Linked DNA regions of Xenopus tropicalis. The protein of the gene in region 3 interacts with the protein of the main gene of each other region in a biochemical or structural test. Links are inferred from orthologs where the notes say so. Each region holds a gene or a part of one and is shown on either strand. Other genes may lie near its edges.

The links.
Region 1: the proteins of rxra (region 3) and ncoa6 form a complex in vitro, tested with the Homo sapiens proteins (5 studies listed by BioGRID). The link is inferred for Xenopus tropicalis from reciprocal best matches to the Homo sapiens genes RXRA and NCOA6.
Region 2: the proteins of rxra (region 3) and trim24 form a complex in vitro, tested with the Homo sapiens proteins (3 studies listed by BioGRID). The link is inferred for Xenopus tropicalis from reciprocal best matches to the Homo sapiens genes RXRA and TRIM24.

What each region holds. Positions count from the first base shown.
Region 1 is NC_030686.2:41,077,002-41,080,656, forward strand, and holds part of ncoa6 (nuclear receptor coactivator 6), read left to right. Parts: coding exon 1-2,651; intron 2,652-2,858; coding exon 2,859-2,927; intron 2,928-3,127; coding exon 3,128-3,155; intron 3,156-3,530; coding exon 3,531-3,652; intron 3,653-3,655. UniProt on the Homo sapiens protein: Nuclear receptor coactivator that directly binds nuclear receptors and stimulates the transcriptional activities in a hormone-dependent fashion. Coactivates expression in an agonist- and AF2-dependent manner.
Region 2 is NC_030679.2:7,785,218-7,788,872, forward strand, and holds part of trim24 (transcription intermediary factor 1-alpha), read left to right. Parts: intron 1-1,964; coding exon 1,965-2,083; intron 2,084-3,551; coding exon 3,552-3,655. UniProt on the Homo sapiens protein: Transcriptional coactivator that interacts with numerous nuclear receptors and coactivators and modulates the transcription of target genes.
Region 3 is NC_030684.2:7,937,317-7,940,971, forward strand, and holds part of rxra (retinoic acid receptor RXR-alpha), read right to left. Parts: intron 3,110-3,655; coding exon 2,959-3,109; intron 1-2,958. UniProt on the Homo sapiens protein: Receptor for retinoic acid that acts as a transcription factor.

The DNA.
Region 1 (3,655 bases), on a different chromosome or scaffold from region 3:
AGGCCAGGGGGGGCAACAACCAACTCCTCCTCAGCAAATGATGATGATGCTGATGATGCAACAACAGGACCAAAAGTCTGTGAGGCTTCCTGGGCCACAAGGAGAATTTAACCGCCGCCCATCTCTGAATTCGGAAGCTCAGAGGATGCCTATGCAGCCTGGGGGCAATATGCCTGTTATGGTGAATGTGCACGGCTCTGGCTCGATTCCACCGTCTCCAGACAAGCAAAGGATCCCTATGGCGCCTAATGTGTCTTTGGGAAATAATGGAAGGAAGATGGGATTCCCAGATAGCGGGAATCAGTCAGGGTCACCACTGGGCGAGGCGCCTGCGACATCTTCTCTGACTGATATTCCAGATCAGACAGCAGCTACTGGGCAGCAGAACAACATGCCCTCTCACTTGCTACTTTCCCAGAATCAGCTGATGATGCCTGGGAACAAATCAGGAAATCTTTCCTCTATGACTTTATCTCAAGGGGCCAATCCCCAGCAGCAGCAACATGCCAACTCCATGCCTGGACCTCATGGGCATCACTTTCCGAGTGTGCAAACTCCATCGCAGACATCCAGACCAAAGACTCCAAACAGAGCAAGCCCGAGACCTTACTACCCTCAAACTCCCAATAATCGTCCTCCAAGTACAGAGCCTTCTGAGATCAGCCTGTCTCCAGAAAGACTGAACGCCTCCATTGCAGGCCTTTTTCCCCCTCAGATAAATATTCCATTGCCTCCCAGGCCTACACTAAACAGAGGTTTTGATCAGCAAGGGTTAAATCCAACAACCTTGAAGGCCATTGGACAAGCTCCTCCTGGACTGACTGTAAACAATCCAACTGGTTTTCTCCCATCACACAACATAGTGGCAGGGAAACAGACTGGCAATGCTGGGAACAAACGAGCAAGTCCTAGCAACAGTAGGCGATCAAGCCCTGCTTCTAGTCGCAAAACAACCCCAAGCCCTGGCAGGCAGAACCTAAAGGCCAACAAGTTTGTGCTTGGGCCACAACAAAACCCTGCAATGCTGCACAACCTGGAGATGCAAAGAAATGCAATGCAGGCTCAAGCTTCAATGCAGTCCCTAGTCCCTGGACCTCCAGTTGGTCCATATCCACCAGTTTCTATTCCAGCCACGTGCGGTTTAACGGAAGAGACTAAAGATAGCTCAGCAATCACGCAGGAGGCAGACAGCCAGGCAATGCAAGTTGCCTTTAAGGAGCAAACTGAGGCAGAACTTAAAGCTATGGTTCAGCAAGAACTGAAGACCACTTCTGAAGAGATGTCCAGAAAAGAACTCCATCCCATGGACCCCTGTAAACCTTCCCCTGCAGAAGAGATCAAGCCTATGGTCTCGCCAGCTATGAGAGATGCACCTACGTCTCTGAGTCAGCTGTTGGATCACTCAGCTGCTTCCAGTCTTAAGTCCTCGGTAGTACCTATAACCGAATCACCTCCTTTACAGCTGCTTTCAGATGATCCCAAAATTTCTGACATTCCTCCTGTACCAGAAGATACCAGTAACAATAATGAAGTGGTATCCACACCTAATCCGCTTTTACAAATTGGACCACATGCAGCTCAACCGAAAACAGACGCCATGGAGCCCAGTACAAATGTTTCTCTGAACCTTCCATCTTCTGCAATGAAACGGCCAGCTGGCCAGACATCTGTTTCCAGCTCAGTGTCTCAGAGCCAGATAACTGTTTTTGTCACTTCAAACCCCATCACAACCTCCTCTACCACAACTGGCCCCATGACTTCCCACGTGCAGCAGCAATCGTTAATGCCAACTGTGGTTAATGTGCAGAATATGGGCAACAAGGTCATCGTGTCCGAAGGGCAGCAGGCTTCCCAGTCGACTGCGCGCCCTCAGTTTATCACTCCTGTTTTCTTTAATTCTCCTTCCATCATACAAGTTATGAAGGGATCACAACAAGGGAATATGCCAGTTTCCACTTCAGCATCCAGTTCAAACTTGGCTCCTCAGTCTGTGGCAGTAGTGGGGTCTTTACATATTCCACAGAATATTCAGTTTTCTGCTGGACCACCTTCTTCAACTCCACCTTCTAGTGCTGTCACCAGTATGCAAACAACTCGACCGGTCCTAGTTACCCCTCCTCAGAACACTGCACATCCTGCTCAGTCTCCATCTGTTGTTCCACCACCAACACCCTTTAAAGAGAGCAACAAAGAAGATATTAGTTCTAATTTGGGTGTAGCATCTGAAGAATGCCCTCCAGGACCTTCAAAGCCCATGGTTTCTCCTCCCAGCGATAGCGTAAGGAACTCTACGGCATCATCCAAGGGTCAGCCCAAGGTGGACCAGACTGAGCAGCTTATGTTCACTACGGTCAATAAGAATGTGACTGGTGGCATTCTAAAAGACAGTTTGGAAACAAACAAAGATGAACTTGGAGATGGAGACAAAACTCCCCCATTAGCCAACTTGGCTACTACTGATCCAGAGGTCACCACTGCAATCTCTTCTGACTCTTTATGTCCTCAAAACCCCAGTTCTAAAGAAGGGGTGCCTGCTCCATCTGCTGCTCAGTCATCAATCCATGGGGAGTTCAAGCATGTAGGGAACACTGTACCAGAGAAAAATGATACCACCTTGGATAATGTTTCGGCAGAAACCACACAAGAAACAGGTATGTACTCGACTGTGTACTAGACTAGCCTCCAGCATTTTTATTGTCCATTTTATAGAGATGCCCATCCCACTGGCACCCTAGTGTGAGAAAGGTTACAGTGTGCTAGTTTACTATTCGTTTTCATTTGTACCCCAGCCAGCCTGCAGAATCATGTTACCCCTCCCCACCCTAATATAATAATAATATTATGTTTTGCATGTTAAGCCTCCTCCAAAAGTTCGAGACAAGAAGAACGACCTGCAAGCAACAAGGAGAGCGCTCCAGAAAAACCTGGTGATTTCCTTTAATATCTGAAATTTTTTTCTTCTTTCCTGTATCATATACCTTTCTCTCTTACTGCTGTGTTCATGATAAGCACGAGAGACATTTTTGTTTTGGTCACTCCCCCTATAGCAAAAGTCACTCCCACATTTTCTGTGCCACAATGTTAGATTGACAAACATCAAGGGTTAACAGACTATTTTCTCTTGCAGGGGATGATCCCCAGGATATCCCAGAAAGGTAAGTCATATTTTATTTTACCATCCGCTTACACGGATATTGTAGTTCTTATAATGGGATTTCAATGTGATCTGTGGGATTTTTCTTGACTAGTTCTGCCCATTGGAAAATTTGCTTTATGAATAGACAGGGTTATGCAGCCTTCTATTTGTGCCAACACCCCCAAGGAAAAATGTAGGCCTTTTAGGCCTCACCACTGCCACAGTGGACAGATCTCATTGTGCCATAGGTCAGATCACTTTGGTTTAATATAAGTGAGTATAAACATGAACTGGCAAGTTCACGTATATACAGATTGTTTCCTGTGCTGGTCCGCTTTCTTTCGTTTGCTTCTGCTCATACATTGCTTTTGCACTTTTTACCCACAAACCACAGTGAAGCAACAGAGAGGCCGAAACCTTTGAGCCGGAGAAACTCCAAGATGGAGGAGCCCCCAGAGGCGTTGGAAAGTGGACAGCGCAAGCGCTCGGCCCGTCCTGGCTCCGCCTCTTCGAAAGGTG
Region 2 (3,655 bases), on a different chromosome or scaffold from region 3:
TTTAAAGGAGAAGGAAAGTCATTTTGGCATTTTACTGCCAATATATTTGCAACATTAGTGCCACCTAGAACCCTATATTTATTCAGCAGAAAGCTTTACTATACCCTAGAGCCCTAGAAGCTCCCTCTGATAGCAGCTGCCATTTTAGCTTGGTCTTGGTAGCTTCCTGCTGCATTTATAGCTGTTGGAAGCTCAGATCACACCTAAGGGAGAGGGGGAGTGAGTTCTTGTGCATTCATATGGGAGGAGGAGAGGAGTCCTAAAAGAGAGTTAGTCTGATACTGAAGAACATGTTTTCAAAAAAGAAAACAAGAAATCCTGTGTTTCTTTTGATAGAGGGCTCAGTGCAGTGTTTCGAGGCTTGATCGAGGTGCACCGGAAATCCACGGGGGATCGACTGGGGGACCGTGATCGACGTATTGGCCACCCCTGATTTAACCCTTCTGAATGCTAATTAGCATATGCTAATTAGGATTCGGTTCAGCCGGGACCGTTGATTCGCCCGAAACTGTCCTTCAAAAAAAAAAAAGGCTGTATTCGGCCCGAATCCAGGATTCGGCGCATCCCTAGTGTATTATAATTTTTTATTTTTTGTATAACTTAGCATCGTGGATGGAAAATTTTTAATTGGTAAGCTCCTCCCCCATTATGTAATGTAGTCATTGTGGGAGGGAAGGGAGTCGTAGTCTCTGGCATGATTAACAAGGTCGTTATATGAAGGGAAATGGGCTGGGTGGCAGACAATGCCCATCACTTACATGTTCTATTTTGAGGATTGTTGTGAACAATTCCATTTTCCTCTTATTGCTTGGATTGGAATGTACGAAGGAAACGGGGAAAAAGTATCGGGAAGTGGTGTACTAAAAAAAAAGAAAAAAAATTCACCCTTAATGGATGTTTAAGGAAAAGATACATCAATATTTGTCAGATTTTTAAGTAAATGTTTAATGTATCAAGTGTTATTTCAGTGTACAGGTATGGGATCCCTTATCCGGAAACCCGTTATCCAGAAAGGTCTGAATTACGGAAAGCCCGTCTTCCATAGACTCCATTATAAGCAAATAATTCAGATTTTTTAAAAATGATTTCCTTTTTCTCTGTAATAATAAAACAGTACCTGTACTTGATCCCAACTAAGATATAATTACCCCTTATTGGGGGCAGAACAGCCCTATTGGGTTTATTTAATGGTTAAATGATTCCCTTTTCTCTGTAATAATAAAACAGTACCTGTACTTGATCCCAACTAAGATATAATTACCCCTTATTGGGGGCAGAACAGCCCTATTGGGTTTATTTCATGGTTAAATGATTCCCTTTTCTCTGTAATAATAAAACAGTACCTGTACTTGATCCCAACTAAGATATAATTACCCCTTATTGGGGCAGAACAGCCCTATTGGGTTTATTTAATGGTTAAATGATTCCCTTTTCTCTGTAATAATAAAACAGTACCTGTACTTGATCCCAACTAAGATATAATTACCCCTTATTGGGGGCAGAACAGCCCTATTGGGTTTATTTCATGGTTAAATGATTCCCTTTTCTCTGTAATAATAAAACAGTACCTGTACTTGATCCCAACTAAGATATAATTACCCCTTATTGGTGGCAGAACAGCCCTATTGGGTTAATTCAATATTTAAATGATATTTAGCAGACTTAAGTTATGGAGATCCAAATTACAGAAAGATCCTTTATCCAGAAAACTCCAGGTCCCGAGCATTCTGGATAACAGGTCCCATACCTGTAGTAGGAAAAATTGGTTGTCATATAAAATTGTTTTTTCCCCTTTCCCAACGCACATGCTGTGAGTCACTGACCCGTTTTTACCCTCTCCCATTGGCTGATTCCAGCATAAGCCATGAGTTTGCTATTCGCTACTGACACACACAGCATTGATGCAGAGCAGTGTATCCTCTCATGTCTTCATATTGTAACCCCTTTTATTTTTTTTTTTACAGTGGGGGTTATTCGCTGTCCCGTATGCAGTCAGGAGTGCGCAGAAAGAGACATCATCGAGAACTTTTTTGTCCGAGACACCACAGAAGTTCCCAGTAGCACCGTTGAGAAACCAAGTCAGGTGAGTCCTCCTATTGGTTATTAAAAGGGCAGTTACCATACAATTTAGCTGTGCTATCACCTATCACCAATACCGGTTCTTACAATACAAAACACATCATTTAGCTTTAAGAGTTGATCCTTGAACCCCAGTGGTAGATGTGGAGGGTTTATACCAGTATAATTTTTTTTTCTCTATTTTACTAGACATTATTAACAGTCTAACATACCTCCCAACTGTCCCAATTTTCGGGGGACAGTCCCTCTTTTGACAGCTCAACCCGCAGTCCCAGATTCTTACTGAAAAGTCCCTCATTTCTCTTTGATCTCCTGCACTGAAGCTAAAAAAGATACAATGTTTCTCAAACTTAATTAAATAGGTAGCTTTTGGCAGACAGCCCAGAAATCTTAACGAAGCGCCACCTGCAATTAGATACTTTGTTTCTCACATTTAATTAAATAAATGGCTTTTGGCAGAGAGCCCAGAAAGGTAAAAAGTCCCCCCCTGCACTGAGATACAATTGTAACTAATAAGCTAAACAAGTCTCTTGGGGGAGCTGAGACTCGCAGCTTAAAGAATAAGTAAACCTTTTTTTTTTTTTCTACCAGTAAAATTACTCTAAACAGCCTCCAGAATGACCTACCTTTGTCCCAGCATTCTGTCTGACCTGGCTCCTGAGTTAGAAGTTGTTGTTTCCTTTGCATCCTTGTGCAGAGTGAAGCCCCGCCCCCACTTCCTGTTCAGTTCCCTCATCAAAAAAAAGAAAAAAACTGCTCCTGCTGCCTCCAGGCATGTTCAGAAGGCTCTCCACTTTGACTACAGTAGTCGAAGTGTTGAGGGAACTGCACAAGGAAGCAAAGGAAACAATCAACTTCTAACTCTTGTGTGCAGGTTGGGTGCAGGTCACCATTTATTATTATTAACATTTATTTATAAAGCGCCAACATATCCCGCAGCGCTGTACAATAAGTGGGTTTCACACATTGGACATACAGAGTAACATATAAAGCAATCAATAACCGATACAAGAGGTGAAGAGAGCCCCTGATCAGGCCCAGTCCTCTGCACTAACACTTATATTCAACCATAAAGTGTCTCAACCCTTTCTCCTTGTAGATTGTAAGCTCTTTTGGGCAGGGCTCTCTTCACCTCTTGTATCGGTTATTGATTGCTTTATATGTTACTCTGTATGTCCAATGTATGAAACCCACTTATTGTACAGCGCTGCGGGGTATGTTGGCGCTTTATAAATAAATATTGATGATAATAATAAAGGGGAGTATACTGACCCTTTTACTGGGGAAGATACTGACCTGTATAAAAGTTAAGCAACATTTTAAAGATATTCCATTTTCCTTCTGTGTTTAACACTGAATACATTCTGTGGATTTCTAAACACATTGTTAACTGTTAAATCAGTCCACGCGTGACATAGATATTATTATTATTTATTCAAACCTTTTTTTTTTTCCTCCCCTGTGCCCTTCAGCAAGTGTGTACAAGCTGTGAGGACAATGCGGAGGCTCGGGGCTTTTGTGTCGAGTGCGTGGAGTGGCTGTGCAAGAACTGCGTGCAGGCGCATCAGAGAGTCAA
Region 3 (3,655 bases):
ATTTTTTTTTTATCTTTTATCATTTCTGAATTATTTACCTTTTTCTTCTGCCTCTTTCCAGCTTTCAAATGGGGGGGGGGGGGTCACTGACCCTGACAACCAGAAACTATTGCGATTGTGACTTTTTAATCCTTATCTTTCTATTCAGACCCTCTACTATTACTATATCAACCACTCTCTCAAACCACTCCCTGGTTACTAAGGTTCATTGGACCCTAGCAACCATATATCTGCTGCAATTCCAAACTGAAAAAAACAAAAAGTAAAATTTTAAAAAACTACCAATGATAAAAAATGAAGACCAATTGCAAATTATCTCAGAATATTACTGCGTATTTCCGTGTCGCTGTCCCTTTAAACGGTCCCTCCTCGCGGCGAGTTCCTGCGTATAAATAGCTGTGTGTCATGGGCCCTACCTACAGCTGCTATTTTGGCAGCCGGCTCTGTTTGCTCTAGATACAGCGGCCAAGGCGGACGCCAATCACGCCAGGAATGTGACAGGTCGGCACACCTGGGCATTTGCCACTAATGACTGAGCGGCGGGGACGTGTGGGAAACAATCGCTTTATTATTATTGATCGCAAGGGGCCGACGTATCTTGATAGCGCGGTCACATGCTTATCCTAGCCGCGGGGTTGGGGCGCGGTGCAGTTTAAAGGGGAAGTAAACCCAAACCCTGCTTCATCTCAATAAACCAGTTTCATAAAAATATACTTTTTTAGCAGTATGTGCCATTGGGTAATCCTAAATAGAAAACTGCCATTTTAAGAATTAAGGGCCACCCCCTGGGATCATAGGAGTCACAGACAGGGTCGGACTAGGGGGTGAAGGGCCCACCGTGGCCCCGCACCACCCAAGGTGCCTCCTCCGGCCACGTCCCCCACCGCCGCGCACCCCTAACCCCACCCCGCAGGGGCCCCTGTCCGACACTGGAGGCCAGAGAAAGCAGCAATAGGGTCAGGTCTGGGCCACTGGGGCCCCCTGGGTATTTTCCCGGTGTCCCGGCGGCCCAGTCCGACCCTGGTCAGAGTGCACATAAACAAGCCAAGGCACACATACTAGGCCCCATCAGCCAATGAATGGGCAGAGTTCTGCCTTTTGCTCCCACACTACTTCCTGTTACAGTTAGAGCTGCATTATTTCTGGTCATGTGATCTCTGAGGGAACACACAGCCCATCACAAAATGGCGGCTCAAGGGAAAGGATGTAAAAGGGCAATATTTACTGATATATATATTCCAGTTTGGGGAGATTCTTTAATAGGTCAATAAACATAATATAAACTGTCTGTTTGTTACGTATTCATTCTGGGGGGATAGGAGAATATGCAGCATGTTTGGGTGCTTCAGCCCTGACATATTGCATTGTGGGAGAACATGACATTAATAAAGCCTTTTCCCACACATCTATTGCTGGACTACATTTCCCAGCATTCTCTGTACCCATTCTCCCACTTTTCCATTAGATCCTTGGCTGCGGAATTAAACAAAATTACCTTATGCTCTGGTTCCTAGGGTCCTGCTTACCCTACTCTGGTTGCTAGGGTCCCGCTTACCCTAGCAACCCCTTCCTAAATCAGCCCAGCAAGCTCAGACAACCCCCCGCCTCTGTTACATTTGGGAATTTATGCATAATGCAATTGCCATGTAGGATGAACTGGTATTTCCGGCAGCGTGGGCTCGCTCGGGGACAATCTGCCCGGGGCTAAATGGACATTTATTAGCCGCTCGTTCCAGATGCTGCGCTTTCTATTCCTTTCCCATTTCCTCATTCACATTCATTGAGGGTCATTTCTGACTGGCAATAAGCTTTAAATAACATAATAGATTCCCTTCTTTGCCTCTTGCAACCACACGCCAGACACGGTGGAGACAGACACGTGAAAAAGTGCAAGGCCCCCCCCCCCCTCGGCCGCAGCCCCCCGGGCACCACAAACTTCCTTTTATGATTTCATCAAACTCACGAGAGGGGCTTGTTCTGAACTCTGCCATTAATCAGATCTGCACGGCAGCAGCAACGCATAAGGGCCCATCGATCGGAGAGCGCAGCCCACTCCCTGCGCCCACGGCCTGACACCCAGCTACAGCTTTGCCATTTACTGCCCCTATCCATGGGCAATAAACAGTTAAACGGGGAAAGAAAACTCACTTCACTCACTAACTATGAAACTCAGATACTGAGATATGGCACCTCCCTCCCATATGTATAAATACAAATATACAGAGAAGGAATGTTCTGGGCACACAATAAGCTGTACCCCCATACTGTACTGTCTAAGGGAAACACTATGGCACCTCCCTCCCATATGTATAAATACAAATATACAGAGAAGGAATGTTCTGGGCACACAATAAGCTGTACCCCCATACTGTACTGTCTAAGGGAAACACTATGGCACCCCCTACCCATATGTATAAATACAAATATACAGAGAAGGAATGTTCTGGGCACACAATAAGCTGTACCCCCATACTGTACTGTCTAAGGGAAACACTATGGCACCTCCCTCCCATATGTATAAATACAAATATACAGAGAAGGAATGTTCTGGGCACACAATAAGCTGTACCCCCATACTGTACTGTCTAAGGGAAACACTATGGCACCTCCTACCCATATGTATAAATATAAATATACAGAGAAGGAATGTTCTGGGCACACAATAAGCTGTACCCTCATACTGTACTGTCTAAGGGAAACACTATGGCACCTCCCTCCCATATGTATAAATACAAATATACAGAGAAGGAATGTTCTGGGCACACAATAAGCTGTACCCCCATACTGTACTGTCTAAGGGAAACACTATGGCACCTCCTACCCATATGTATAAATACAAATATACAGAGAAGGAATGTTCTGGGCACACAATAAGCTGTACCCCCATACTGTACTGTCACACTCTTTTCCTGCCCATTCCCCCTGCAGAAAGCTCATTAGCAGACCCGGAATCACTACCTGAAGATCTGTCACCGCAGATGGCGCAGATGTGCTTGGTGAAAGAGGCCATAGGTCCTGAGGGATGGGCCGGTACTTTAAGGATGCCGTTGATTCCCGGAGGAGGCTTGATGTCTTCTGTGCTGCTGACCGAGTTCATGGGGGAATGGATCTGAAGAGCAGAGAGAAATGCACATATTTATATATATATATATACACATACATACAGAGATATAAAGCAATAAACCCCCCAGAGCCATAGAGGCAGAATGCGGTGCATTACTCTATGCCATAAGCAGCAGGGACTCCAAGATGGAACAAAGATCATTTTGCAGTCGCTATATATATATATATATATATATATAATGCCACTGTAATGGGAGCTAAGGAAAACTATATGGCAGCTCCCTCCCATACATGTAAATAATATAAAGGATTTTTGCCTGGTTATAAATCTGCAGATTTATTCATTCTGTAGAACATTCTTTCCACATTCCCGTTCATGCTTAAACCCCTGCGCCCCCCCCAGTAGTAGCCAGGATTGGGGCCCCATCAGTAGCCAGGTGGGCCCCATCAGCCCAGGCCCGATCCCCACCAGAGTTCCCTGGGCTGCAGATCTCCCTCCCCAAAGGCCCTATATGTGCCCCAAACAGCACGGTTCTGTCCCCTGGGGGGAACATATAGTGATTTATTGCTCCAATGAGGAGAACCCAAATGA